Neurospora crassa OR74A: one gene and its partners. The protein of the gene in region 5 purifies or fractionates together with the protein of the main gene of each other region. This does not show direct contact. Links are inferred from orthologs where the notes say so. Each region holds a gene or a part of one and is shown on either strand. Other genes may lie near its edges.

Evidence for each region.
Region 1: the proteins of NCU00040 (region 5) and NCU04640 purify together in Saccharomyces cerevisiae (affinity purification with mass spectrometry, with the first as the bait; 3 studies listed by BioGRID). This does not show direct contact. The link is inferred for Neurospora crassa OR74A from reciprocal best matches to the Saccharomyces cerevisiae genes RPG1 and SUI3.
Region 2: the proteins of NCU00040 (region 5) and NCU03061 purify together in Saccharomyces cerevisiae (affinity purification with mass spectrometry; 3 studies listed by BioGRID, with this or other methods). This does not show direct contact. The link is inferred for Neurospora crassa OR74A from reciprocal best matches to the Saccharomyces cerevisiae genes RPG1 and RLI1.
Region 3: the proteins of NCU00040 (region 5) and NCU05270 purify together in Saccharomyces cerevisiae (affinity purification with mass spectrometry; 3 studies listed by BioGRID, with this or other methods). This does not show direct contact. The link is inferred for Neurospora crassa OR74A from reciprocal best matches to the Saccharomyces cerevisiae genes RPG1 and FUN12.
Region 4: the proteins of NCU00040 (region 5) and NCU08277 purify together in Saccharomyces cerevisiae (affinity purification with mass spectrometry, with the first as the bait; 4 studies listed by BioGRID). This does not show direct contact. The link is inferred for Neurospora crassa OR74A from reciprocal best matches to the Saccharomyces cerevisiae genes RPG1 and SUI2.
Region 6: the proteins of NCU00040 (region 5) and NCU08046 purify together in Saccharomyces cerevisiae (affinity purification with mass spectrometry; 13 studies listed by BioGRID, with this or other methods). This does not show direct contact. The link is inferred for Neurospora crassa OR74A from reciprocal best matches to the Saccharomyces cerevisiae genes RPG1 and TIF35.
Region 7: the proteins of NCU00040 (region 5) and ckb-2 purify together in Saccharomyces cerevisiae (affinity purification with mass spectrometry; 3 studies listed by BioGRID). This does not show direct contact. The link is inferred for Neurospora crassa OR74A from reciprocal best matches to the Saccharomyces cerevisiae genes RPG1 and CKB2.

Annotation. Positions count from the first base shown.
Region 1 is NC_026505.1:1,363,958-1,367,923, forward strand, and holds NCU04640 (eukaryotic translation initiation factor 2 beta subunit), read right to left. Parts: upstream 2,801-3,966; 5' UTR 2,435-2,800; coding exon 2,423-2,434; exon of another isoform or gene 1,950-2,422; coding exon 1,808-1,949; intron 1,757-1,807; coding exon 1,106-1,756; intron 996-1,105; coding exon 929-995; intron 874-928; coding exon 774-873; 3' UTR 127-773; downstream 1-126. Other genes in the region: NCU16952 (hypothetical protein), read left to right, coding at 3,526-3,766, 3,867-3,966. UniProt on the Saccharomyces cerevisiae protein: Component of the eIF2 complex that functions in the early steps of protein synthesis by forming a ternary complex with GTP and initiator tRNA.
Region 2 is NC_026501.1:4,385,435-4,389,541, reverse strand, and holds the start of NCU03061 (translation initiation factor RLI1), read right to left. Parts: upstream 2,801-4,107; 5' UTR 2,517-2,800; coding exon 2,497-2,516; intron 2,361-2,496; coding exon 2,267-2,360; intron 2,199-2,266; coding exon 2,193-2,198; intron 2,121-2,192; coding exon 1,781-2,120; intron 1,729-1,780; coding exon 1,567-1,728; intron 1,502-1,566; coding exon 644-1,501; intron 591-643; coding exon 280-590; intron 203-279; coding exon 170-202; 3' UTR 1-169. UniProt on the Saccharomyces cerevisiae protein: Component of the multifactor complex (MFC) involved in translation initiation. Required for the binding of MFC to the 40S ribosome. Required for the processing and nuclear export of the 60S and 40S ribosomal subunits.
Region 3 is NC_026504.1:5,514,275-5,518,474, forward strand, and holds the start of NCU05270 (mitochondrial translation initiation factor IF-2), read left to right. Parts: upstream 1-1,400; 5' UTR 1,401-1,688; coding exon 1,689-2,201; intron 2,202-2,296; coding exon 2,297-2,812; intron 2,813-2,886; coding exon 2,887-4,200. Other genes in the region: NCU05271 (hypothetical protein), read left to right, coding at 1-536. UniProt on the Saccharomyces cerevisiae protein: Plays a role in translation initiation. Translational GTPase that catalyzes the joining of the 40S and 60S subunits to form the 80S initiation complex with the initiator methionine-tRNA in the P-site base paired to the start codon.
Region 4 is NC_026504.1:2,569,593-2,573,219, forward strand, and holds NCU08277 (eukaryotic translation initiation factor 2 alpha subunit), read right to left. Parts: upstream 2,476-3,627; 5' UTR 2,039-2,475; coding exon 1,961-2,038; intron 1,892-1,960; coding exon 1,521-1,891; intron 1,442-1,520; coding exon 1,205-1,441; intron 1,139-1,204; coding exon 892-1,138; 3' UTR 501-891; downstream 1-500. Other genes in the region: NCU16791 (mitochondrial inner membrane protease subunit 2), read right to left, coding at 86-342; NCU08276 (hypothetical protein), read left to right, coding at 3,287-3,609. UniProt on the Saccharomyces cerevisiae protein: eIF-2 functions in the early steps of protein synthesis by forming a ternary complex with GTP and initiator tRNA. This complex binds to a 40S ribosomal subunit, followed by mRNA binding to form a 43S pre-initiation complex.
Region 5 is NC_026503.1:2,375,198-2,379,273, forward strand, and holds the start of NCU00040 (eukaryotic translation initiation factor 3 110 kDa subunit), read right to left. Parts: upstream 2,801-4,076; 5' UTR 2,325-2,800; coding exon 2,322-2,324; intron 2,090-2,321; coding exon 1-2,089.
Region 6 is NC_026504.1:4,018,414-4,022,501, forward strand, and holds NCU08046 (eukaryotic translation initiation factor 3), read right to left. Parts: upstream 2,656-4,088; 5' UTR 2,586-2,655; coding exon 2,560-2,585; intron 2,504-2,559; coding exon 2,249-2,503; intron 2,093-2,248; coding exon 1,444-2,092; intron 1,240-1,443; coding exon 1,015-1,239; 3' UTR 501-1,014; downstream 1-500. Other genes in the region: NCU08047 (hypothetical protein), read right to left, coding at 3,533-4,088. UniProt on the Saccharomyces cerevisiae protein: RNA-binding component of the eukaryotic translation initiation factor 3 (eIF-3) complex, which is involved in protein synthesis of a specialized repertoire of mRNAs and, together with other initiation factors, stimulates binding of mRNA and methionyl-tRNAi to the 40S ribosome.
Region 7 is NC_026501.1:3,448,591-3,452,577, forward strand, and holds ckb-2 (casein kinase II subunit beta-2), read left to right. Parts: upstream 1-1,349; 5' UTR 1,350-1,723; coding exon 1,724-1,780; intron 1,781-1,863; coding exon 1,864-2,109; intron 2,110-2,191; coding exon 2,192-2,746; 3' UTR 2,747-3,487; downstream 3,488-3,987. Other genes in the region: NCU11228 (DUF1339 domain-containing protein), read left to right, coding at 1-672; NCU02755 (PAP2 domain-containing protein), read right to left, coding at 3,818-3,987. UniProt on the Saccharomyces cerevisiae protein: Regulatory subunit of casein kinase II/CK2.

The DNA of each region.
Region 1 (3,966 bases), on a different chromosome or scaffold from region 5:
GCTAACTATCATGCATGTGCTCGGCATATCATGGATCGATCGCCAAAACATCGGAACGTAGTGTATACGCAATGTATACGCGTCAAGGTGAGATTTCGAACCTAAGCGGCCGCTTTTTCTCACCAATCGCGGAGTATCAAGGTTTATCATTTTACTCAACTGCCACTTTGAGTTTCGATAACATAATGTAGTTTATAAAGGTAGACTGAATGGCTATACATACTGCAAAGAACAGAGAATAATTCCTGTTCGCAAGATCTCAAAATCCATCGCTTCGTAATCCTGCGCTCAGTCAGCCTCTTCCTTGCTCTCCCAGTCTAGCTTGCTGACCATGGTCATGAATGACCTGAGAACCTCTGAATCCCACATCAGTCTAGATACAACCTCGCAGCCCTCATCCATATAAATCAGACAAGCTCAGGAAAAGAAGAAAGCCCTCCTCTTTATCAGACTCCCTATGCAAAGTAAGGATAAGTGTGCCACCATCATCAAAAACCAGAACTTTTTGTGTACCAATTCTTCATCAAGTATCGTCATATTAACCCGTACCCTACCGCGTAAGGAATTCACCTGATTTTGTAGCACAGACTCTCTCTTCCATCCTCTCTCTCGTGTACTGGAGATGAGAGATTGCCGTTCAGAGGGGCCGTGCTACTTCGTAAAAGACCCGTGCCCAACCAGCCATATACAATGCCGTCTTAACTCCGTCCTTGAAGCGTGAAAACATTGAAAAGCAAACTGCAAGGGCCTCGAAACAAGAAAACAAAAACCGCTTAACCCTGCATCTTCTTTCTCTTGCCGACCTGGGCAGAGAAACCGGTCTTAATGGCCTGGACAGACCGCCTAGAACCGCAAGAGTTGCAGGTAATGAAACTGTGACATGTCAGCATTTTGGGGCTATGGTCGTCGTAAACAGAGGCCAACTTACTAAAGACGGTTCTCGCCCTTGGAGAGCTCGGTGTTGGGGGAACGGCACGTCTTGCAGGTAACGTACTCTGTTGAGCATGTTAGCATTTGTAGTCAGAGCAAAACGTTGGGTGCTGGTGGTGACATTGTCTACTTGGGCGCAAAACGTCCAAACGACGACAGGATCAAATAGACATACCGATAATGTAGGTACGCAGAACGTTCTCGATCTGCTTCTGCTGGAAACGACCCTTGATGACCAGACGCCTGCTGCCGTCGACGGAACCGCTGGTACCCAATTCGGCGAAAAGGTAAGAAGTAACGTGCTCGTCGGCTCTCTTCATGCGCTTGCAAATCTCGGGCAGGTTGGCGAAGATGGTCTTCTTGTTGCCTTCACGGAGACACTGCGGGGGCGGGATCTTGTACGACCGTGTACCGGTAGAGGCGTGGTCGGGGTTCTTTTGCGAGAGAAGGGCGAAGAAACGGGACAGAAGAGCGTTGTAGCTGATGGGCTTGGTCTCGTCGTGGGCCCAAATGCCGGTGCCCTGGTCCATATCGCCCTCCTGCTCGTCCTCCTGGGGGGCGGCCTCCTCGCCCTCCTTGCCCTCAATGTTGAGAGCCTCCAGCTTCTTGGCGAACTCATCATCCTCCTTGACGACCTTCTTCTTCTTCTTTTTCTTCATGGTGAGGTCGATAGCACCGTCACCCTCGGCAGGGGCGGCCTCATCAGCAGCGGCGTCGGCATCGTCCTCCTTCTTGACCTTCTTCTTCTTCTTCTTCATGAGCGAAAGGTCGAGGCCATCATCGGCGGCGGGGGCGGCAGCAGCAGCAGCATCCTGGGGCTCGGTGGCTTGGGGGGCATCAGTAAAGGCCCCGAGAGCGGCGTGGAGGGGCGGCGTACGAGCAGAGTGGGACTGGGCAGTCTCCTTGATTTCGTCGGCGGGAGAGGCGTCCATGGTGACAGAACCGTCGGGGTTGACAACTAGCTTCTCGTCGGTAAAGGTGACAGACTTGCGCGAGGGGCGTCTTTTGATAGAGGGCGCCTAAAGGGTTAGTATATCGGAGTGGATAAGGCGCTTGTCGTGGGAGTCGCGATAGCGGTCAAGGATTTCGCCGTCGAGTGTGGATAGGAAAGCTCGGAATTTTTTGGGATGATTGGCGGCGTTTTCGCGCTGCAGAGTGCCAGAACTTTATGGTGGATTTTGGGCTGGGGGTGGAGGGAGAGGGTTGGCGCCTTGGAGGGGCAGTACACGTCAGGGGACTTGAGGGCTGGGGCCGGGGATAGGTATAATTGCACTGCGTAGGTAGCAAAGTACAGTGAGGGGTGTGCAGTGTGGTGAATGGGACTTTTTATTTCCTTAGTATTTTTGACTAGGCGAGAAGCGTGGCTCCCCCCAGGGCTCGAGGTGTCTGCCTCTAGCGTGGTGGTAGGGTCGGGGAGGACGGAGGGTGTGTTGTGTGGGCGTAGAGGTAGTGAGTGTGTACTGAAGCAAGGAGATCCATCCCAGGTACTTACTTCAGAATCCATGCTGGGCCACTGGTGTGTTTGAGAGTGTGGTGGTGTCTGTCTGTCTGTCTGTAGGTGTGTGATTGTCCGTCTTTTTCTTTGTAATCGATGTCTCTTCCGGTGGACTCTTTGTTGGTCGCAGAGAGTGGATTTTGTCGATGGATGAGATTAGGTAGACTTTGGGGTCGGGAGAGGTATCGATGCAGGCAGACTGATCTCAGCTTTCTTTCAGTTTCGGACCTGGAATTGTTCTTTGCGGGGACCTAGGTAGTTGGATGCCGCTTGGGTCCTGGTCTGGTTACCTACTACTACTGTCGTTTAGTTCTGTCGTTGGGCTGGAGACTGAGCGGAGTTCTTTCTGTACACACGGCTCTGGATGGGGCACCGGCACCACGCCTCAGCTGTGTTCACCTCATGACGTTGATTGAAGCGAAACTGTGAGTCAGTCTTCTCAATCACCTGACAAGTGGGGTGGGAAGAGCTCAGACAGCTGCCCGCCACTTGCAACTACAAATCGCCTCCGCTTCTCCATTTTCCAGGCCATGCAGCCCTCCTCCCTGCAGCACGGTGCCTTCAACCCGCTCGAGCCACGGCCGCACAGTCCGACACGGTTGGGTTGGCACTGGCACTTGCAGTCCGGTGCAGTGCTTGGCGGCAGCGATAGGTGAGTGGTGTCCATTCCAGCATCGCATAGCTGCACTGCTGCAGCAGTTGGTGCCGTGGCCCGTCATCGGTCACCGACAACAACCAGCTCCATCACGAACCTTGGAAGGCGCGCCGAGTCCGTAGAGGTATCCATCTCCGTGTATCGCTGTGTTCGTAACCGACAACGAATCTCCCAGCAGCAATCAAGTTCGTCCCACGCGATTTCTACAATATCCTACACGTCAGGCGTTACGCCGATTCGTACAGTGTCTCCATCCCGAACTATCGCAATTTGCCCGAGCTACGATAGCTACTTACAGTACCATCTTCACCGCGACAACCGACCGTGCGCCGGCGCCGACCACTTGCTCGCCTCATCCAAACCACACTGACGATAGCTACCTACTCCCGGCCAGAGACGCGATACCCTCAGACAGACAAATTGCGCATTCGGGACATCCAAAACCATGTCCACCCCCTCCGATTCCTACGTCCTCCACGACCACTCCCCGTCAACCGACAACGACGATGTCGACTCCCTCCCGTCCATCTCCAGCAGTATCCTAGGCTCGGACGACTCCGAGTACGACGACGAATCAGACGCACAAAAGGAATGGGAACAGAGTCTCGAGCAGCTGCAGCTTCTCTTGAACTTGGTGCTAATACCGTTCGCGGGCAAGTTTTTGGGGCGCAAGTTTGCTTATTGGAGTAAGACAAACCAAAACCAGATCTTGGGAAAGACAGCTTGCGCTGTGGGAGGAGACAATAACGACGATGCGGAAAGTCAGTTGCTAACATGGCCCGGCAGGTTGGGGACGGTACATGGAGTGGGCGCACGGGGTCAAGGTCCAATGGTATAACAAGACGCTATTCAACATTGCCGGTTGGATAGGAGCTGCTACGCCAGT
Region 2 (4,107 bases), on a different chromosome or scaffold from region 5:
GCTACCATCCCCGGCGCCGCAATGAATGGAGGAACTGCCATTTTCTTTTTGGACGCCTAGAACGCCGGAATCCGATGCATCATCATAACAACGACGGGGGCGTTTAGTATTGTTGCCTCTGCCGCTAGTCTTATTATTCTTGGGAAGAACATCATTGGAGACACCGTCTTTAACTGCTCTTCTCGGGATCGTCCAAGAAGAACTATAGGGGAAAGCAATGTTAGTATGAGGTCGCAGGATGGGAGAACTTTTCCAAATTGAAACAGAAACAAAACTTACGTAGTTGCCACTGAGCTTCTGCTCCTGGTCAAGCTGAGAGTTCAGCTTGTTGATGCGAGGGCGATAGTTGGTAGGATCACGGCGGAAAGTGACATCAAGGTTCTTCAAAAAGGTGTTGCAGCCAGTAAGCAAAGACTCGGGCTTGTTGGCGTGAGCGTCGATACCAGGCTTGCCATCAAAGACAATAACACGGTCGGCAAGGTAAGTGGCCATGATGAAATCGTGCTCGACGATGAAGGCAGTCTTCTTGGCGTGCATAATGAAACGCTTGATAACACGGGAGGCAATGATACGTTGCTCGGAGTCGAGATCTGGAAGACGGTTAGAAATGCATCTTAAGGGGGTGGGAAAGAGGTTCACGTACAGGCAGAAGGCTCATCGATGAGGTAGATATCAGCAGGAATACCGAGAGCAAGAACAATGGCAACTCTTTGCAGTTCACCACCGGACAGATGCTTGACTTCCTGGTCAATGAAATCATCAAGCTTCAGAGGCTTGACGACGTCAGTCTGGAACTGAGGAGACAAGAAAGCAGCCTTGATCTTCTTGAAGAACAGCTGGCGAACGGTACCCTCGAACTTGGGAGTGATGGTCTGGGGCTTCATGGAGATCTTCATCTCGGGAACCCTCTTGGTGCCGTCAGGCTTAAGAACACCGGCCAAAAGACGGCAGAAGGTGGTCTTTCCAGTACCGTTCTCACCCATCATGACGATAATCTCGGAATCAGAGAAAGAACCGGCGTCGATGGACAGGTGGAAGTTGCCCATGGTCTTCTCCATGGCAGGGTACTTGAAGGCGCGCGACTTTTCCTGGATGAACTCCTCAGTGCCTTCGGCAATGCGGAAGGTCAAGCTCTCGTCACGGAAACGCAAGTTCTCAGTAGGGATGTGACCATCGAGGAAAATGTTGATGCCTTCACGGACGGAGTGAGGGAGGGTGACGACACCGTATACGGCGGGCTGACCGTAAAGACAGCAGACGTAATCGGAGAGGTAGTCGAGGACAGACAAATCGTGCTCGACGACAATGACGTAGTCGTCGGGCCGGAGGAGAGAGCGAATGATGCGGGCGGCACTCAATCTTTGCTTGACATCGAGATACGAGGAAGGCTCGTCGAACATGTAGACATCGGCCTTCTGAACGCAAACGGTACCGATGGCGAAACGCTGGAGCTCACCACCGGAAAGGAGGGTAACATCACGGTCGTAGATGTGGCGCAACTCTATTCAAGATCAGCCAGGGCGTCCAAATAAGCAAATCACAAAGCGCAAAGCATGTGGAACCTACCAAGGGTGTCGAGAACCTCGTCAAGGTTATCGAGAGAGCGGCGGCCCTCAATCAGGAACTTGACGCTCTTGTCGGGGGTGCGGATGGCCTTGGGGATCTGGTCGACGTACTGGGGCTTGACAACAGCCTTCAGGTCATCCTCGAGCAGCTTGGTGAAGTAGTCTGCGATTTGTCAATCCTCTGATCTCCTTCCAAGGTGAGCCGTATTCCTTACTCTGCAACTCAGAACCGCGGAAGTACTTGATGACGTCCTCCCAGTCAGGCGGGTTGTCGTACCTGCCCAGGTTGGGCTTAAGCTTTCCGGAGAGAATCTTGAGCGCGGTACTCTTGCCGATACCGTTCGTTCCGACAAGACCCAAGACGTTGCCGGGACGGGGCATGGGAAGACGGTGGAGCTTGAAGCTGTTGGCGGCATAGCGATGGGTGATCTGGCTCTCGAGGTTGGTGGGCAGGTTGATAATGGTGATGGCGCCGAAGGGGCAGCGCTTGGGGCAGATACCACAACCAATGCACAGCTGTTCGGAGATGAAGGCGATGCGCGACTCGGGAGACACCTAGATATCGGATGTCAGGAGGGTGTTGTCGCGCAAAACACGGGGATCGCAAGGGGTCCGGAGAGATCTTACCTCGATCTGTTAGAGAGCAGTTAGCTGTTTGGTCTTGTTACCGCACGAGGACTATGGAGAAGAGGGAAGCTTACACAGAGTTTACCGGAGCGCACAACAGGGCATGACTTCTTGCATTCCTGGCGACACTTCTTGGGCTTGCACTTGTCGCTACTAACGATAGCGATACTACAGATACGAAACAGGCGAGGTCAGCAAGGTGGAAGCCAGACAGCGCATACAGCCAGACCAGCACAAGCCAGTATCGGCCGATGCTTCTACAAGCAGAGCACACACGCGTGCGGCCTTGGGATCGTAAACGCACCGAGTGAGTTTGTCCGACATCTTGTCTGTGATTTCGCTCTGCGGACTGATCGAGATGGGTGACTGTGGGCGGACCGCTATCCTAGGCGCAAAGCGGGAAATGGGGGAGGGGGAGAAATTCTCAAGATGCCGCACGTCTCGGAATACTACGAGCAGAGTGGAGAGGGCCAAACAAGGCGGAGGAGGCTGACACTCTTAAGTTTCTCCAGAGGCAACGTGGGTCGACGCCTGGGTTGTGGACAATGTCAGTTCCCTCGTCTCAAAAAATGTCGAGACCGCTGCACCGTGCGCCGAGTCTGGTGGCAGGGCGGATCGTAAAAAAAAAAGACCCCGCTTGCCCTGATGTGAAGTAAGGTAGGTCGTCGGGCTTCCTACTTAGGTACCTCTAGCCCCGCAACGCTATGTACCAACATGGTAGCAGGGTTGGAGCTACAAAAGAGGTGTAAGCTGAAATGTGCCACGGTTGATAGGTTACCTCTTAAAGGTACCAACTTTACCTTGGTATCTAATGCCAGGTGAAAGCCCACTGTTCCTGTTTCGCTGTCATTGCTTGCCTTAGGTGCCCCGTGTGCACTTTTTGTAGGTATGTAACGACCCTCCATATAAGTAGTAGGTACCTAAATTCCATCTCCCCAGTCGGGCTGAACTCTCAGTCCACCCCATGATTTCTGTCTCAGAATTCCATAACATGACAGGAGCTTCTACTATCCTATCATTGCGGTTGCACCAAGTATCTAGCTGATGTTCACGCAAGTGGTCGTCCACATTGGGTTCCACTTTTACTATTGTTCCTCTGTCCTTTGTTCTGTTTCCGCTTCCCATTGATCTCCCCTTCATTTCAGGACAACTTCTGCCCAAAGATTCTTACAGTGACCCAAGTGGCATCGTGGAGAGTTGGTTAATCATGGGCGTGTACTTAATGTCTTGCTGAAGTCAGTTTGTGCTCATTATCAGCCAAAACAGATCCGAGATCTGCTGAACACAGCCTTACATCGCCTATTTTCCCGAATACATGGTCATCGCTTCCAATGGACGACTATAATGCGGATGATGATGACTAGACAGTTTCATTGATATTGCCACTTTCTCTGTCCAGGTGATGATAGTTTCCTCCGTGGATGAACAGATCCGACCCATCCTTCACAAGTGAGCGTTAATATCTAGTACTCCCTCGGCTAAAGATAATGCGTCAATGGCAGCGTATTGTTTGTTTGGAGGGGAGTACTTGTATGGCCGACGACATCAAGCTTGATCATGACGCTCGGTAGGAGGATGTGCATAGTTACCTAGTTAGGGTTGACAACTAGAAGCGCTCGGACTCCTCCCACAACCGTATCGTTTAAGGAAATCACTCGCAGCATCACGGATGCCGTCAACGATCACGATGCAGAGAGGCGCAGGGTTACTGACATCAAACCGGACTTCCGAACAGAGCTCTGGCTGCCTGTCGACATATGTTTCCTGCGCCCCGGCCGGGCAGTGACTCACAACCAATCTACTCTGATAGCAGTCTATTCCACATGTTGTCGAGGCAGAAATGACATCGGCATCAAGACGTTGAAGATAGTTGCCGACAGAGGTCAATGTTGGCAGTCAAGGAAGGCTGGTGGCC
Region 3 (4,200 bases), on a different chromosome or scaffold from region 5:
GAACCCATAACTGGGCTGAGTTCAGGGTGCTCTTCGAGGGGACGCTTCCTGTCAGTATCAGGAAGTTCCGGCGCGGCAGGACACGGCCAACGTGGGAGCAAGGAGCCTGGAACGCACCCAAGTACGGCCGGCTCATTAGCACACCGAACGATGCCGAGATGTTGGGAATAGCCATGGACGGCACCATGTATCACTTTACGCTGCTTGATCAGCACGCATTGCGTCTGTTGCGATTCATTGTCAACTTGTATAACCTCAGGGGGAAGAGAGACGAGGAAAGGCTGCTGCACGCGGAGCCGAACCTGGGTCCCACTGAGCCGTCGCATGTGGATGGTGATGTGCTGAAGACACTCTTGGATGCGGAAGTCTTGCAAGAGCTGATCAACACGGAGGAGCTGTTGGCGCGGTTCAAGAGCCTGTTGGATAAGTTGGATGGAGGCAAACATACTGCTGAGTGGATGGGCGAGGGCACTGCGGACCAGTATTTTGAACTGGCGTATAACGTGTTGATGTATTATCTTAGGCAAGTTTACTAAGTGCTTGGAATTCTAAGGCGGGGGGGGGGGGGGGGGGGAAGGGCAAGATACACTGGTAATAAACGGACGTGTGATCCAGTGTCGGCCTACAAGCCGTCCTGATGAATGCCTTGGTGGTGTAGCTACAGCATAATAGAAAAGCGAATAAAGAATATCACTAGCAACATCTGGTTAATGAAATACCCATTATGACAAGGTGAGGGAGTTGGCCTGCCCCCTTGGATGGAATATCGCACAAAATACACCAAAGTGGTAGAAAGTAAATACAGAAATTAGCCCAGCAAGTGCCCCACTTGTGCCTTAACAAGCAGGTGCCCCGCATTCTGCACCAACGAGTCGGTCACTGTACTTGTACGCGGGAGTGCAGGAGCTTCCACTTCTTTTTCACCACTGCACTGTACTGTACTGTATTTGTCTTGACTGCTGTCTCCAACAGTCTGTGCAGTGTCAAGTCAAGGGCTTGGTCAAAGCGACACCTCCTGGCTCCGGCACAAGTAAAAAAAAAAGTTTGGAGTGGCGATCCTTGTCTGGATTTTTCTGCTGAATCGAGACTCCTTTGACTTTGCGACTTCGACTACTTGGGATTGAGTTAGAGAACGGGACATGATTGCCGTTTTTTGACCGTAGACGGAGACAATACCAAACACTTTATACGGGTTGAAAGAAAGCGCATAGGCAGACGGTGTAAGTACAGGTACTGAGATAGGTACGTACCTGACCTCTATATAGTGTAGCAACAAACCAGAGCGGGATTCGATACAAAGAACAACGAAAGAAAAAAAAAAGATCCACGGTGCCAAGTACCTACAGTACCATCGATCCACTCTGCAGCACCACCACCGAAAAGTGATACAAGTGACAAGCCCTATCCCGTCGACAAGGGGGGACCTACAGCACCAAAAAAAGTACGCCGCCTGCCTTCTTTAGCAGCCAGCCATATCGCATATAACGGCCCAGTAGCCCCAGTCGGCCGCCCCACGAACCCACCACCAGAACCACCTAGCGAGCAACGAGGTCTTCACCCGGACTTCGACTTTCGTCACAAGGAGAGAAGGAGAGCCCATCAGGATCCTCTCCCCCGCCCATCCTACCGACGACATCCCCGCCTCAAGGTATTCCCCGGTCGACTACCAACAGTCCAGTTAGCCCAACATGGCGCCCAAGAAGAAGGGAAACAAGAAGGCCAACGATGACTGGGAGGCCGAGCTGGGCGAGTCCATCGCCCCCGTCAACAACAACGGCGCCGATGCTGCTGCCGCCTCTCCCGCTGCCGCCGACGACGAGGCCGCTTCCGGTGGTGGCGGTCTGATGGAGAGAATGCGCAAGGCCAAGGAGAAGCGCAAGAAGAAGGGTCTTGCCGACGACTGGGAGGCTGAGCTGGGCGAAGACGCTCCCGGCGCCGAGAAGCCCGCTGCCGCCGAGCCCGTCCCCGATCTGTCGGCCAAGGTCGCCGAGGAGGCCAACCTCGACGACGAGTTCGCTCTCCCCGAGAAGAAGGGCAAGGGTGGCAAGGGCAAGCAGCAGCAGCAGCAACAGAAGGCTGCTCCCGCCGCCGCCGCCAAGAAGGACGAGGATGCTGCCGATGAGGATGGCCCTAGGGTGTTGACCAAGGCCGAGAAGGAGAAGCTCAAGAAGGAGCGTGAGAAGCAGCGCAAGAAGGAGCAGGTGAGTACCCAGTCATTATCACTATTACCCACTAATGACTATACATACATCAGACACAAACGGAAGACTAACAACAACTTCTTTTCACTAAACAGGCTGCTGCTAAGAAGAAGGGCACCACACCCGCCGCCGCCGCCAAGGCCGAGCCCGCAAAGGAGGAGAAGAAGGCCGAAACCCCCAGCCCCGTCTCGACCCCCGCTTCCACTCCCGCCCCCGAAGCCGCCGCCGGTGGCAAGAAGAAGAAGCTCCCCGCCCACCTGCTCGCCCTCCAGAAGCAGCAGGAGGAGCTGCGCCGTCGCCAAGAGGAGGAGGCTAGGCTCCTCGCCGAGGAGAAGGCCAGGATAGAGGAGGAGGAGCGCGCCGCTGCCGAGGAGGCCAAGCGCAAGGAGGAGGAGCGCGCCCGCAAGAAGGAGAAGGAGAAGCAGAGGATCGAGCAGCTCAAGAAGGAGGGCAAGTTCATGACCAAGGCCCAGAAGGAGGAGAAGGCCCGCAACGAGAGGAAGCTGCAGCAGATGTTGGCGGCCGGTATCAAGGTCAACGCGCTCGAGGGTGAAGAGTCCAAGAAGAAGCCTGTCTACGACGACAAGAAGAAGAGGGCTGCTAACAAGAAGGTGAGTCTGTCCGGGATTCTTGCTACAATTACGGTATACTATGGACGGCGCTAACCAGTGTCTACTTGCTACAGAAGGACGAGGAAAAGGCTCTCGCCGAGGCCGCTGAGCGCGCAAGACTCGCCGCTGAGGCTCTGGTCAAGGAGCAAGAGGAGAAGGCCCGCATCGAGCGCGAGAAGGCCGAGAAGGAGGCTGCTGCCAAGGCTGAGGCCGCCAAGGCCGCCGCTGAGGACAGCGTCGACGAGGACTGGGAGGCCGCTGTTGCCTCTGACAAGGAGGATGTCAAGGACAGCTGGGACGCCGACTCCGACGAGGAGGAGGAGACCAAGAAGGAAGAGACCAAGAAGGAGGCTTCTAAGCCCGCCGCGGCCAACGGCAAGACTCAGGCCAAGAAGGAGGAGTCCGAGTCCGAGTCCGAGTCTGAGGAGGAATCTGAAGAGGAATCTTCTGAAGACGAGGAGGCTACCGCCAGGGAACTGGAGGAGGCCCGGAGGAAGAAGGAGGCTGCCGAGCGCCGCGAGAAGGCTCACCAGGCCGCTCTGGCTGCCAGGTCTGCGGACAACCTCCGCTCGCCTATTTGCTGTATTCTTGGTCACGTCGATACTGGTAAGACGAAGCTGCTCGACAAGATTCGTCAGACCAACGTCCAGGAGGGTGAAGCCGGTGGTATCACTCAGCAGATTGGTGCCACTTACTTCCCCGTTGAGGCCATCAAGCAGAAGACGCACGTCGTCAACAGGGACGGCAAGTTCGAGTTCAAGGTTCCCGGTCTTCTTATCATCGATACCCCCGGTCACGAGTCTTTCTCCAACTTGCGTTCGCGTGGTTCTTCGCTCTGCAACATCGCCATCTTGGTTGTCGATATCATGCACGGTCTCGAACCCCAGACTCTCGAGTCCATGAGACTGCTCCGTGAGAGGAAGACGCCCTTCATCGTCGCTCTCAACAAGATCGATCGTCTTTACGGCTGGAAGAAGATCGAGAACAACGGCTTCCAGGAGTCGTTGGCCCTCCAGAACAAGGCTGTCCAGAACGAGTTCAAGAACCGTCTCGAGCAGACCAAGCTCGCCTTCGCCGAGCAGGGTTTCAACTCGGAGCTCTTCTACCAGAACAAGTCCATGGCCAAATACGTCTCCTTGGTCCCCACCTCTGCCCACACCGGCGAGGGTATCCCCGACATGTTGAAGCTCATTGTCCAGCTTACCCAGGAGCGCATGGTTGGCTCTCTCATGTACCTCTCCGAGGTCCAGGCTACCGTTCTCGAAGTCAAGGCCATCGAGGGTTTCGGTATGACCATCGATGTCATTCTCACCAACGGTATCCTCAGGGAAGGTGACCGCATTATCCTATGTGGTACAGAAGGCGTCATCAAAACCAATATCAGAGCC
Region 4 (3,627 bases), on a different chromosome or scaffold from region 5:
CTGGGTTACAGTTAGTCGTCAGGTTCCCAACCAATGCCCCGAATGCGGCACGCCAGATGCTGTAGGATGAGATTTTGGATCTCACCTAAAGGTCACAATCATGCCGCGCTTGAGGTTCCGGTCCGGGTACCACTTAGAGACCAGTACGATGTCCCGACGTGTTGACTCATTGTAGTGCGGGTTGAAGAAAGGATACATGGACGGCCCCTTGATTTGTGTGATCTCGGCAACCCAGCCGTTGAAGACCACCAATGGAGGGATCCATGTTGCGTAGCGAATGAGGTAGTGTGAGAACTGACCGAGGAATCCGTTCCGAATTCCTGCTCCCCATCGCGCCGCCATCGCTATCCGACCAAGCGAGTTATCGAGCTACCGAAGATGTCAATGCGATGCAACTCTTTGCTGTGAATCGCAATGCTGCTGTGAAATAGAGGGCGTATGTTCGCCTCAACGTGCTCAGTGAGCAGGGCAGTGAGCAGTACGGAGCTTGTGTGTTAACATGGAGAAGACAATAATTGCAGCCACATGCCCGGGCAGGCGGCGATAAGAAAACGATGAGATCGCTTATCAGCCCCGGTAGCTGCATATCCTTGAACGCCTAGATCTACCTAGTTACAGCAAGTGCATCCATAAAATGACTATGTATCCATATCAAGTCTTGTGTTCATCAATCCTCGTCCCTCGCTCACATTCATTAGGCATACGCTTGATGCAATCTTTTGGTTGATTCCTCTACCGCCTGAAGGACTTTTGTATCCCCTAGACGCCAGCCCTGTGTCGCAAAAACTGTATACATGCATCCCTAAACCTTTCCTCAAAATAGTGTCGAGTATCCCAATGAGCCTGCAAAGATAGCTCCGTTTAAGAATGGCTGCAAAATGAAGAGGCGCTTTAGACGGTCTCGGGGATATTGTCGTCGGACTCGCTGACACTCTCGTCGCCGCTGACCTCAGCGTTCTCACGCTCACGCTTCTCCATAAGAGCTTGGAGCTCAGCATCATCGGACTCAGTGACAGCCTTGGGCTCCATCTTCACCACAAGGTGGCCACCAGCAGCCTCGATGCTGGTCCGCATGTCTTGAATGGCCTCCTGAAGGCGGGCAATACCGGCATTCTTGTCCAAGCAGGTGTTGGTAAGGCTGTGTATAGTTATTAGCTTCCACTCTGTCTTCAACATTGCAAGACTATTTCTGGCAAAGACTTACACATAAAGGGGAGGGGACACAAGTCTGCACTTGACCTGGGTTTCCTCAGTGTTGCGAGCCTCCGCAGTGCGGAGAGCGGTCTTGATAGCATCGATACCCTCGTAGCCGAAGCAAGTGACCTCAACATCGGCACGGACCTTGGTAGGCTGGGGAGTCAAACGCTTGCTGATGTAGGTCTTGAGCTCCTCGGCAACGGCCTCGGTGGGGAACTGGATGTCATTCCAGACGTCGGGGTTGCTTCACATCCATGTCAGCATCTTGTCCAATACCGCCATTTTGTCCCACAGCTGTACGCCTATTTCCCGGAATGACGTACGTGATCGAAAGCTTGAAGGCATCAAGCGAGTGGCCGTATTTCTTGTTGAGGGGCCATCCTATTGTCTCGTAAAGCTGCTCGATGGGAACAAGAGTCTTCTCGGCAACGTGGCGCATAATCGAGTGGACGATCTTGCTCTTGTTGTAACGCTCCTCGCAACGAACGATATCCTCGGGGGACACACGACGCTTGGACAAATCGATATAACCCTTCTCCTTGTCGACACGGAGAACGACGACGACCTCGTTGCGACCGACACGGATCAACTTCTGGATGGAACGAATACGTCTTCTGGAAAGCTCAGAGAGCAGGATCATGCCGTCGATGTTGTCGTACTCGAGAAGCTTGACGTAGGCGCCCATATCGGCAATCTAATCTGGGGGTCAGCTCTGACGCATCCACATGCGCATGCGCACCACCGGGACCCCAGTGTATCGTACTTGCTTAACATTGACCATAACGAACGAGTCGATTTCAGGATACTTCTCCTCATAGAAACGGCAGTTTGAGAGCGACATGTTGGCGACTGGTGCCTTTTCCCGGGCGGGGCAAACGGTGAAATAAGTGGTGGTGTTAGTGGTGTTGAAAGGGGGAGGGTAATGTCGGCGACGAGCTTCGCGACAATGGGCGAGATGGAATTCGAGTGGATGGTCTGGAGGGGTTGATGGCCGAGAAAGAAAATTGACCGAGTTTCGCTGCAAGTGGCCACAGCTGGGAAAGGTCCTCTGGAAGTTCGAGTTCTGGTTGCGGCAGCGGGTTCTCGGAGGGTCCAGCGAGGCTCAAAGGACTCACTCAAAGTTAGCCAGATGCGTCGCAGTATTTTTCGGGTACCAACCAAAAATTACGTGCAGACAGGCTGCAAAAGTGGCGTGGGCACTTTGGGAGGGAACGAAGTAGGCTGTGGCTGGTGCGCCGGATTGAGGGGTGAATTTCACGTTCTGACCGTGACGGCAAGTGAGACGCGGCTCCATCTTTTTTTTTTGAGGTGGGGTAAGTCGGGTACCTAGGTAAGGAAGCGCACAGCAGCCCAGGTGGGAACAACGGTACGCAAAGGCAGGTACCTGCTCTCGGTTAGGTACCTCTACTTACTCCACCTGCCCCGAACTCCACTGTGCCAAGCGCCAGCTCAGTGGGCAGGAACAACGACGTCAATCGTGAACCGACAGTGGGGTTAGTCACTGATAAGCCTGGAATCTTCCTTGGACATCGTCGAGCTAGGGAGCTTCAATCACTGAACCTTGCTTGTCCACCAACGGCGACTTGGAGATTCGACTTTTGCACGGCACCCAAACGAATCCCGAGGGCCGACCAACACCCGACGACACTGGGCTCATCTAAACCCTCCGCACATGTCGTTACTTTTGGAGGAGCTCACCCGTTTCGCTTTTCTCGACGGTCTCCGTCTTGGGTGACAACACTTGGACCGATATGAAAAAGAACAGAGCGACGACACCGCAGACCAGGTAGTAAGAGTTGGGTTTCAACCACAGGCACATCGGGGAGGGGACAGCTCATAGGTCTTGATCAGGTTGCGACGGTACTTTTGGGGTTCAGACACGCTGATCGATCGAACACCAACTATTCTTCACGACCATCCCCACGACGACGGCGCGACACTACCGCGATACCTACAACCCTATAAAAAAAAGGAAACACAAAAACAAAAACATACATACACACTCTCTTCTTTCTGTCAGAACCGATCTACACGACGGGCTCGCCCGGTAACTCTTGGCTTGCTTGCTTGGTGCTTCAGGCTTCTGAAAATGGAGTCTCTTAGCAACCTCGGCAACGCCATGAGCTCGGTGCTTTCCGAGACAACGTCCACGACTGCGACGGCAATCCTCGCCGATCCTACAGAAGCCCTCTCGTCTGTCGTCGCTCTCGCCAGCGATGCGGTCTCGAAAGCTACTAGCGATGTGGTTCCCGAACACACCCCGACTTCATGGTTCACCATCATCCTCTGGCTGTTGCACCGCATCTCGAGTGTGCTATACTTTGTCATCAAGCTGACCACCATCACTACACCCACCTTTCTGTTCAACATCTTTTCGACTAGTCTGACGGTGACCATGAACGCCACTACGCTGTAAGTCATCCGCCAGCC
Region 5 (4,076 bases):
TCATGCGGATCTTGTTGCTGTCAAGGGTCTCGATGTCCTCACCCTGAAGTTCCTCAAGCTTCATATCCTTGAGGAGGGCTTCAACTTCCTTCCTCTTGATTTGCTCGCGCTCGTTGGCAAGACGCTTCGCCTCGCGGAGCTTCTGTTCCTCGGCAAGACGGGCGGCCTCAGCCTGTTGGAGGGCCTGCTCCTGGAGCAGCTTCTTGCGAGCGTTCTCCTTCTCCTTCTGGGCCTGAGCCTCAGAAGCCTTATCCTTGCGCGTCTGGATGATCTCCTTGCGAGCAAGGACCTCCTGGTGCTCCTTCTCGGCTCCAGCCTTAGCACGAGCAAGGGCCTCATCACGAGCCTTGATGCGAGCCTCGTTGAAGCTAGGATCGATATAGCGGCAGGTGGTGTAAAGAGCCTCAGCGAGGCGAGTGAGCTGAGAGCGCACAATCTGGGAGGGAGTGCTCTGGAGACGCTGTACAGAGCCAGTCTCGCTCTCGGCAGAGCCGGCAGAGGAACCGGCGTGGACAGCCTTGGCGGAAGAGAAGACATCAGCATCGAAGCTAAGAACGCCAGTGGCGTGGTCCATGCGGATGGCGAGATCGCCCTTCTTGTTGCCGTTCATAATGAACTTCTCAATGGTGCCGCGAGTGACCTGGAAAGGCTCGGGGAATTGAGCCAAGCTCTCGACGAACTCAAGGTCGACAGTCTCATACACCTGCGAAAGCTGCTGGAACAGGCGGGTGAGAATGACCTGCTGAAGAGGAAGGATGTACTTCTGCATCTCGGCATCGGCGCCAATCTCCGCGAGAATGGGGGAAATCTTCTGGCAAATGGAAAGAGGATGGAAGTCGACCTCGAGGATGTTGTAAAGATCGCGAATCTGGGGCTGGGCGCGGCGGAGAAGCGACTTGGAAAGGGCATCGCGGAAGAGTCCAGCACGGGTAGGAGCCTGGGCCATGCCGAGCAGGTGGGTCAAACGAGAGTTCTTGTTCTTGCGGGCCTCATCGAAGTCCACCATGGCACCGCGAGAGCGCGAGGTGCTGATGACGGGAATGGAGAGGGCGGAGAGAATGACAAAGGTGGCAGCCCTCTGGAGGTCAGCATCGCTGCAAGCCGGGTTATCAGCCTTCTTGCTGTGGCCAGAAGCAATGAGAGCAGCAGACTGGCGCAAGAGGTTGTAGTAACGAGCCCAAGCAGCGGCGTGGAAGAGGTAGTTCTCGCCGACAAGGAAGATACGGGTGAGCTTCTCGTAGTAGTTGGCCATCATGACGTTCTTGGCGGGGCGCTTGCTGAGGCTGAGGAGGGTGTGGATATCCTCAACACTGCGGAAAGCCTCCTGCCAGAGCTCGAGCTCAACGGCGACGTTGAGCTGCTGGAAACGGGTCTCAAGGTGACGCTGAAGAGTATCGGGGTCGTTCAGGTTGATGGCGTGCATCTGGGCCGAGTACTTGGCGGCGGTCTGGACATGGTTGCGGAGAAGCTCGCAGAGGCGGCGGAACTCGGTCTTGCGGGTGTACTTGAGGCAGAAGTCGAAAGCCTGCATAGCGGTGCTCTGATAGAGAACCTCGAGGCGGGCATTGTTCCTGAGAATGTCAAGAACAGTGCGGTAAGCCTCCCAAAGGAACTTCAGCCAAGGAGTGACGATAGCGCGGTCGGTGCGGTCGCGAGACTGCTCACCGGAAACGGTAGCGAGCAGGATGGACTCGGGGGTCTCGCTGGCCTCGAGATCGTCGATGTTGGAGGTGGTGGCCTCGATGCTGGACTGGACCTCGTCGGCCTTGGCCTGGGCAGCAGTGACCTTCTCGGCGGCGAGCTCGATGAACTTCTTGAGAACCAACTCGATGGTGGCGACGTTGGTGTTCTGGGCGATGTTCTTGTACTGGTAGAGGGCGTCCTTGGCGAGCTTGCCCTTCTTCTGCTCGACGGAGAGCTCGACGAGTAGGAGCATGACGGGCTCCAGGGAGGCGATGGGGACATTGCGGGAGCGCTTCGAGGTGATGTGCTCGTGGAGCAGGGTCAGGGCGGCGGGGGCCTGGTTGACCCCGATGAGCTCGTGGGCGCGCTTGAGAACATTCTCAGGCTTTTGGTGAGGTGGGGGAGGCTGTTGATGATCAGTAATGGTCACCACGGGTCACAACACACGACGACACTTGGTGGTGAGCGGGACAGGCGGGGAGCGGGGGTGGTCGAGGGTTGAAGGGGGGGGTGGAGGGCAGGGTGGGCGGTGATGAGGTTAGGTGACGATGGAGTTGGCTTTCCAGTCAAAGGAGGGGCAGAAGATTATATGAACTCGAAGCCATAACCATAAGGCTATGGCTGTATTCCCAACTCACCATGATGGGCAACTCCTCGGCACTTGGCTAATCTGGAGGAGATATGGATAAAGTGGTGATAGGGGACGCGGCGCGCAAAGCAGCACGTAGAAATGCTGGAGACTTTGGCTGAGGCTGCGCTGTCCAGGACGATTTTTTCGCCTCGTGGAGAAGTTCAGTTCGTTGCCAGCCAAAAAAGCCCTGGCCAAGGCTAGAGGCTCGATTTTGCTGAGGAGCACTTTGTGGGCTGGGATGATGCGGGACAGTCACGTGATGCAGCTTATCGAGCACGTCGCTGCGACAACAACTCAGAGGCGTGAAGTGCAAGTTGTTGTGCGAATGGATGTTTGGTCACTTCTGTAGCAATGGGGATTGACTGAGATGCAATTATTTTCTTGATCTTAACCGTGATCTGCTGTGAGGCTATTGTGCACAATGGTAAAAAGGTTGGATTGTCGCAAAGGGCAAGTGGGATGTTCTGCCATCTTGGCGTCTGGTGCTGTCCAGTCTGGTGTACACTAGAAAGGAGCTCCATGGTGTGTGTGCACAGCGGCTTTTGTTCTTTCTTTGTGCCCGAGTTCCCAGCCCGCTGGCGACGGGCGTTCTTCTCTGCCGGGCCACGGACCCCCGCCTTGACCGATGACGGACCGTCGGCGGTCTTGCCAAGCTTTCTCACGGCTGTCATCGACGAAATTGCACTTTGAGGCTTAGTTGGAACTTGGAACAGAATCGTGGTGCGAACTTCGGTCGAGTATTGAGAAGATAATCCCCAGTAAGAACATATATCCTCCTAAAAGGCATATGATATCGCTGCTTGAACTGCTAGAGTGGCTGCAAACTCTTCTCCTGTAGCTGAATGCACACCAGCAACTGCATAGGACTTCACGGTCTGTGATTACTGTAGTGTACATACATACATACATACATACATGCAGAAACAGGAGGCTCTCCTCTGTACCCTCGTCGTCCCACCCAGAGCGTTCAAGCTCGCGTCCATCATCGGTCGGAGCAAGTGGGCACCCACCCAATGGCGCCATTCCCAATCCCGTCCGGAGATGCCTGCTGAGCCGGGGTGGTTCCGCTAGACCATCAAAGGGGGGACGATAAAGTGGGGGCGGAACCCGTCGTGTTCTGACTGCCCTGCATTTGCCATTCTTGCTGCAGCTTTCATGCACAGCAGCACCGACAGATCCAAAAAAGGTCCCGTCGGTTGGTCGGACTAGTCCTGTCCCTGCCTATCCAGCGGCGGTGGCAGCAGTCCATCTTCAACGGCCTCCATCGTGCTTTTCTTTTCCTAGATCTTGACCTCCAGTCCCGCTTCCAGAAGCTTGCAACAATGTCAATCACAATGGCACGGATGGGGCAGGACAATAGGGAGGCCGGCACCTCATCCTGAATGCGGAGCTCGTGGTGATACTTGCTATCTTGTCTTGATACTAACTCGTCTGCACCCATTCCGTCTACGGTCGTAGTTAGTGTCGAGTTAATCTAACCAAACCCTGCTAAGCGACCCCCTGGTCCGTCTCATTTGCACTTGGCCCTTTTTTTCCTCGTCGCCCTGGGTTGCTTTGGCTGCCCAGAAGAGGAGTGCAGCACCGAAAGCGACCAGCATTGCAGCAGTGCAAGTGCAGGTAAAAGCGCAGCACTGCAGCAGGCCAAGCAGGGGGAGACTGGGGCGTCCATGCCTGCTGGGGAATTGCACGGACTGCACCCGCCTACCGAACCGTTCCCTGCTGCGCTGCTACTGGTTCTACAGGCTGCGCACTGACCCCCGTC
Region 6 (4,088 bases), on a different chromosome or scaffold from region 5:
GAGGAGGAGAAGGAAAGGCAGGAAGGGAATGATACTGATGGAGAGAGTGATCATGACCGAAGGAGGAGGAGGAGGGGAAAGGCAAGAAGGTCTAGGGATGAGAAGGTGTAGGGGTTATGATGGGCGGGAGGCTATTGTTCTTGTGTGTTCATGGTGTTGTTGCTGAGGTTTCTTTGCGCCGAATGTCCCCCCCCCCCCCCCTTTTTTTTTTTTTTCATTTCATTCTCGAGTGATATTTGTTTCTTATTTCTCTTATAGGCAACCAGCCATTTTTCTTTGTCGACATCTTCCAAGACTTCATGATTTATGAGGGCAGGGCGGAGGGATGAACGACTTTTACGGTGATGAGATGAATGAGACAGGAAGATGAAGAGGATGAAGGGACGTGCCGGCTGCTTTGAGAGAGCTCAGGAACTTACGGTCTTTGCGATTGGTCGGTTGAGTTGATGATAGGACATCATAACAGATTCTGTCACCAAGTAATATAATGTTTGATGCCAGGGACGTTCAGCGGGATAGATAAATGCACTGATAATAATTCAAGAGTTCAGAGAGGCTGTCAGCTGTTTTAAACACTGGCATGCGCCCTGAATCGACAAGAAGACCACACTGTATTCTGAAGAGCTTCGGTGCGTTTTGGGCTCCTGTAGTCCGGGCATGTTGCCAGTCTATTACACCGATCTTGTTCAACCTGGAGTTAGCCCGTCATCCATGTAACAAAAGTCAACTATAACCACCTGGCCACCCTGGCCCGATATGCTTAAAAGGCGGAAGAAATCTCTCGATCATGACAAATTTTGCCGCTTGTTCCCCATTAGTATGAACCCCCACAGCAAGAAGAGACAGGAACCAGATCAAGTAATAGTAGTATCAAAGAGTCCTTTCCCATTTTGATGACGCACTTCCTTGTGCAGACCGCATTAGGGACCAAAACATCGCTGCTTCTTCCATCATTCCTCTAACCCCTTCCTCCCTCTCCTCCGCCTCCTCGTCCGTCTAGAAGACCCATTAAGTTTACGCAGCCTTCTTCGCGAACTCAACCCTAAGGATCAAATGTCTGAAACCGAAACCGTCCATCTTGGCGCAAGCCTTGACAGCGTCGCTGCGATCAGCGAAACTGATGAAGGCGAAGCCCTTGGCAAGACCCGTATCGCGATCCTTGGCAAGGAAGACACGAGTGACGCGACCGAACCGCTCGAACATATCGCGAAGCTCTTGTTCCTCGGCCATCTCGGAGACCTAAGCGTAGAAAACATGTTAGCACGAATCAGTCCCGTCATAATAACCCCTCTTTAGGAGCAGAACAGAGCAGCTTTTGCAAGTCTGTCGCCTACTCCCTCTTTCCCTTTTCCTTCTGCTTCTTCTTCTTCTCCACCACCACCACCACCTCCTCCTCCTCCTCCTCCTCCGCGTCCTTTTGGGGGACACTAGGGGCAAACGTACGTTGGTAACTCTGAGAGTGGCGAGATCGTCGCGCTCGCCGTACTTGCCGCCCATCCTCTCTCCAGCAGCCGCGGCCCCACCGGCACCACGCAGCGCAGGTGGCACGTACGAGCCCTTCTTGCCCGCGCCCGCCGCACCCTGGGAAGCGGCAGCAGCCTCGTCAGCAGCACTGGCGGCGACGTCGGCGGCAGCGCCGGCCTCGCCGATGGGGGCCATGGTGTCCTTGTAGGGACAGCGGGCGGTGAAATGCTCGCCGTTGCAAATACGGCACTTGACCTTCTTGTCCTTCAACTTGTCCTTCATGGCCTGGGCGTTGGGGTCCTTGCTCTCATCCTTGGCTTCCTGGCGCCAGTTGAAGGAAGGCTTGAAGATGATGTTCTCGCCGACCGAGGTGGTGTCGGGGGCCGGGCCGGCGCCGTCCTTGACGCTAAGGCCGAACTTGGTCCACGACTTGCGCTCAGCGACGCGGGGGTTGACGACCTCACGGTGGGTGATGTAGCGGATGCGTCGTGTGGTCTTGACCTTCTGGCCGTTGTCGTTCAGGCGGTACTCGATGATGGTCGTGCTGCCATCCTTGTTGGTGATCTTCTGAGGGGGCGGGAGTTCGGTGGAGGTCTCCTCGAGCTCGTCATCGTCGGCCCAGTCGTGCCTGAATGGTCGCGAACTATGTTAGACTCTTACTCTCCGAGAAATCAAATGCATACGTGTTGGGTTGTGAAGCACGCCGGAAAAATGGCAATCGGGGGAATCGGGGGCGTGGATGCAGACGGGCGTTTGCTGTCGAGGCAAGCGGAGGAGTACTGACTTCTGTTGAACGGCAGCCATCTTGACAGTATGTGGTTGTTTTGATTCCGCAGGTTCGGCTCGTCTGGTGATGGGTGCGGTGGATGACTGAAATGGCCGTGGGTTGTCGTCGCGATGGGTTGACGTTGCGCTGGTTTGGCGGCGATTTTTGGTGGGGCTCAAGTTTGAAAAGCCAGGGCAGTTTTCCCCCCCATTTTTTGGAGGTGGGAATTTTTGGATATTTGAGTGTGGGGCAAAAATTGTCTTGCTGACTCGGCTTTCACTCAGGAAATCAGCCCTGTTTGGCAGCTAACGGTGCTCTATCCTACGTACAATATCAAGGCAGCAGATTCGCACATGACAGCCAATACGGCTCCCTACAAACGAAGCTTCGTTCTTTGACAAAGCAGGACTGGTCGCATCCAGACGTATACGTTGAGGTGTTTTGCCCCTTCTTTCATTATCCGCTTTGGGTTGCTTCCACTTCGCATCCATTAGTGGGGGCATCACAGGCATCACAACCCTAACCCGAACGTTGCTCCTCCAGGCCTACCAGGGGCAGGGCGCGGCGCCGCAACATGGAGCTAGCTCAACTCTCTCGACACCAGGACGTGTTGTACATAGTAGGTACCTTTGTTTGCAAGTTGATGGCTGGCACCGAGGTTAAAGTTTGAGAGTTTGAACTCGATTCAGATTTCTCCAAGCATCCATATCTGATGCTCTAAACTCACTGCTATCTAAGTTGGCCACGGAGCCTGCCGGGCACCAGCTTTCTTCTGACTCTGTGACCCCCCTCCTCCGATTGAGAATCGAAAACCACCCCGCCCTTCATGCCCACCACACTCACCTCCTCAATTAATCACCTACATACACAGTAGGTACCCCAACATTACATAATACAAGGTATATGGCAAAAAAAGACAAATCCCGCACCAAATCGACCTGACAAAGGAGATCGTTCACACGTTACGTTCCGGATGTCGCCGGTGGTATAAATGTACCCTCATCACCTGGGTATCCAGTATCTTGCTTCCTGCATCCTTATTCCATCCATCTAACCGGTATCTTGTTTTTCGACTGAACCCGACCTTGAAAAAAGAGAGACAAAGGAAATGGTGACGGAGTCAATCAGCGGTTCGATGGCGGTTTATCTCTATCAGTTGAATCCCCAGGCGCCCTTTGCTCTGCAAGTATTGTCGCTGACAGATACTCGGAAACTTCAGTGGTCGTGCTTCCTAGACGTCCAGAAATGGCGATGCGTTGAATGATGGTATGGCGCCAGATACGAGTAAATGCAAATCACAGCTCAAGGTGAATATGCTGAGTGACAGACTTGAAGTGACGATTTTCTCGGGATTGGAGGAAGGGCACGATTCGGCGGGGGAGCAGGTGGGGGACCTTCCGCCAGCTGTGTCTTATTCCGTCGCGAACCCAAGCCGCCGTTGGCAACCGACAAAGACCTAAAATGGGGCGCGGGTCTCGAGCCCTGCTTCGAAAGTGAAGTTGAAGATATCTGGGGAAGGTCGCCGAGATCGTCACCGAGGTCACTCAGATCAAGGAAACTGCGATCAGGTTCGCTTGACCTTTCTGACAGCTGAGACTGCAGACTAAATCTTCTATCGGCGCGCTTCGATGGGCTACCTGGGTAATCGCCGACGGACGGAGTGGATCTGAGCATGTCTTGGAAAGCCACTGATGATGGAGGAGCATAGCCTGACCTCTTTTCAGGGCTACCATGTGTGACAGGTTGTGTGGGAGAGAGATTCTCCCAGTCCTCGCCGCTGTCACAACGTTGCTTGGTTGCGTCCGGCAATCCCCAAGACGAGAAAAGGGACTCCGGTTCCGGTGCTGTCTCATCAGCT
Region 7 (3,987 bases), on a different chromosome or scaffold from region 5:
GAGTACTTTGCGCATGGACTGGAAATACTTCTGCACCATGTCCTGGACGAAGAGGTGGATGCCCATCCTCCGCCTGCTCCAGAACATGCCATCCTCCCACGCGTGCTGTCACTTCTCTCATCGTTCAAGCAGTACTTGGACATTGTGGTGCAGTGTACCCGCAAGACGGAAGTGCGTTCCTGGCGTACTCTGTTCGCCTATCTCCCTCCACCTCAGGAGCTGTTTGAGGAGAGCTTGCAGCGTGGGAGCCTCAAGACTGCTGGCGGCTACTTACTCATCCTCCATACCTTTGACGAACTCGCAACAGCAAGCGAGCAGAGTGTGCGTCTCTTAAGCAGAGCAATGCGCGAGGGCGACTGGGAGCTATGCAAAGAGCTGGCGCGGTTTTTAGCAGCGCTCGATGAAACGGGGGACACGCTGCGTGAAGCAATGGAGCTGGCCAAGATGCGAGTGAAGCAGGAAAGTGAGCTGGAGGATGGCCATGGCAGCGTAGGCAGCGGGCTGGGCACAATGCTTGGAGTTCCTCAGGGTGGTGGTGCTAACGGTGCTTCCAGCACTACCAGCTCATTGATTTCCAATACCAAGGGGATCATAGGTAGTGACTGGGATGCTGACAGGCGCACAATCAGCGACGCCGGCAGCGTTGTCAGTGCTAATCGGTACGAAGGTTAATGAAGTGGATGGAAATTGGAAAGCGGATAGTTGGTTGTAGGATTGTTGGATATCCATAGCCGTGGCGCTCACGATCCTACCAGAACGTCACTTTATGATGAAGCGGGGGTCTTGAGCTCTAGACACATGCTGTAGGGCAACACAGATGTTATAGAAGCCGGGATGTTTCAAGATAATCTAGAACAGCTATAATCACAGGCGACTGGCGTTCTTATCCCCCATTTTTATTTATTTATATATATTTTTTTTGGGTTTTCCGTCTCCAACAATATACCTGCTCAAAAATAAGGCACAAACTGTAGCACTGAACGTCATGACGCCCAATAGAATACCTACCTTAATGACAGAGTACATGCTTCCATCCCCAGTACCTGTGAACGTACAATTAAAGTCATACGCTGGGCCGTTGGGCTGACTGAAGGCCGACGAAAGGTACCCGCCCGCTACCTACCTACCTACCTAGGTAGGTACTTAGGTAGTCAGATGGTCGATTTTGCAGACCTGATAACCTACCTCTGTGTAGTGCCCTGGGTAGGTCGGGACTGCTGATAAACAGACTGCGATGAGCCAGGGGCGGGGGGGCACTGCAACCTGCCCTGCGGGGACCACTGCAACGGCGATGAACCCCCCACCAAAAAAAAAAGTCCCTTGTCATGGACTGTCAGCCTGTTTGGCTCCCGGTCTAGAGTCCAGACCCCCTCGCCTGCCCTGCCGTTGCCCTGCACCAGGGACGGCTTTGAACCCTCTTCCACCTGAACTCCCATCAAACCGTCGCAAAAAAGCATCACAATCCTCTCCAACGTCTTGTCGTCATTGTGCCTTGTGCCAGCTCAATCTCATCCGACTCGGACCTCCCACTCCCCATCTACGGCCCGGCGCGCATTAGTTCGGCCCAACAAAAGGTTCAAACGCCGTACTTGACCCCGGCACCCGGGATTTTGGCCTCGTTGATGCGAAGCGCCAGCCGACGGTCGTTCGCGCCCACTTTCCTCCCACCACCACCTTCCTCCCTTCCTTTTATGCGCCGAGTATAGACGTGGTGTCGCCGGCCATGGATGACTTTGTGAGCGAGTCTGAGAGCGACTATGCCAGCTATTGGCGCGACTGGGTATGCTTCTCTTGCAATTGTTGTTATTGTTTACTACAGTAAAGGTTCCCCAATCATGCTGACATTTGCGCGTCCGCCTGCAGTTTATTTCCTCGCGAGGCAATGAGTACTTTTGCGAAATTGACGAGGACTACATCACTGATAGGTTCAATCTAACTGGTCTCAACACTGAGGTCCAGTACTACCAATATGCTCTCGATCTCATCACCGATGTCTTCGACCTCGACTGCGATGACGACATGCGGGAAACAATAGAGAAGTCTGCTAGGCACCTGTACGGTCTTGTCCATGCTCGATACATTGTCACAACGCGGGGTCTTCAAAAAATGGTCAGTAATCAACTCTCAGCATTCCATCTTCATCCAGCGTCTCCTCGTCTTCATCCGTGACTAACGCACTTCCCACCAACAGTTCGAAAAGTACAAAAAAGCCGACTTTGGCAAGTGCCCGCGCGTCATGTGTTCCTCGCACCCTCTGCTGCCCATGGGTCTCTCGGACGTGCCCAACTCCAAGCCGGTGAAGCTGTACTGCGCGCGTTGCGAGGATATTTACAACCCCAAGTCGTCGCGCCACGCCGCCATTGACGGCGCCTACTTCGGCACCTCGTTCCACAACATCTTCTTTCAGGTATACCCGACCCTGGTGCCCGCCAAGAGCGTCGAGCGCTACATTCCGCGCTGCTACGGCTTCAAGGTGCACGCCGCTGCCGCTCTGGTGCGCTGGCAGAACAGCCAGCGGGACGAGATGCGTAGGCGGCTGAGGAAGCTCGAGGTCGAGAGCGGGTTCAAGGACGCCGAGGACGAGGCTGAGCTTGACGATGATGACGAGGAGGAGGAGGAGGAAGAGGAGGAAGAGGAGGAGCTGGCTGCTATGGATGAGGCTGAAGGTGCCCAACAGCAACATGCGGCGGCGGCGGCAGGTACAGCAACGGGAGGCGTTGCTGCCGGCGGTGAAGGCGTTCATTAGAAAGGGCCTGCTGCTACTGGTGGAGAAGCGGATGAAGAGTATTGGAATTCAGAAGCCACGATTGGAGCCGCCGACGAAGCTGACGATGAAGCTGAGCTACCAAACGAGCCAAACGAGCCGAACCATTGGTTGACACCTCTCATGTCTGCTGCTGCAAGGCTGCGACGGAGTCTCAGGCTAGGGGAGGACTATGAAGAGCAGGCTGAAGTGGAGTTCGATGAGTGGATGGAACAGGCGAGGTACGGGATCTTTTGACTTTTGAGGTGGTGGAATGCATATACCATACAGTATCGAGTAACAAAGTATGAGTACAGGTGCCTCTCTTCTCTTTGTTTTTTTGTTTCTATTCCCGCACCCCATAAGCCTCTACACAGCGGACGTCGGGATCGATGCGAATAAGGGAGAGAGAGCCATTGATAGAGTGTTTATGTTCTTTGGTCTAGCTATACGTCTTTTCGGTTCTTACCAGACGATTTCTTCTCACCTTGCCGGCTTTGCTTCTCTTCGTCTGTGCTGAACTGCACCCTTCTCTGTTTCAAGCCTCCTAAAAACCAATCGTCAAATCGACGGGAAGTTGAACTTAACGCTTGAAAGGCAGTCTCTTGGAGCGTGAAAATTCAAAACGACCAGACCATATATCCAAGCGTCTACTGAGGAAAGATTCACAAGCGGTGTCATGCGGCAACACGAACCTTTCAAATACATGAACTGTTACCACAGCATAAACACGTTGATTAATGCCGAAGACCAGTGTGCTCAAACTTCCCTTGAAGAGTTACCAGGTAGATATGTGTACATATGGATAGGTTCCTCATTTCCCTATCTCAAAACGCCTCCTGAACATAAGAGAGACTGTACCAAAACCCATGTTGGTGACATAAAACCATTTGTTGTTCCTCATATTTCCTCGTTTAGAGAAATAATCGCTTTTGTCATCAAGCCCACCCATCCGGGCCAAGTCCCTACTTCCGGAAAATGCACCTTGACTCTTCTGATCCGACAATGCGTCGAAATTTGCCTTTCATATCTGATCGTCATTTACCCGTCTCTGTAAGCTGTGTCAACCTGTTCTCATTGATCAACGTCAAGCGACGGTGGTTTCCTCCCCGTGATGATCCCACCGGGCTGGTCCGGTCCCACATTGCTTTCCAAACCGGTGCCATTGGCCCGTACCACGGGGTGCCCATAGCTGCTGCCGTGATCTAAAGAATCCGGACTCAGCGCCTCCTCCTCGTCTCCCG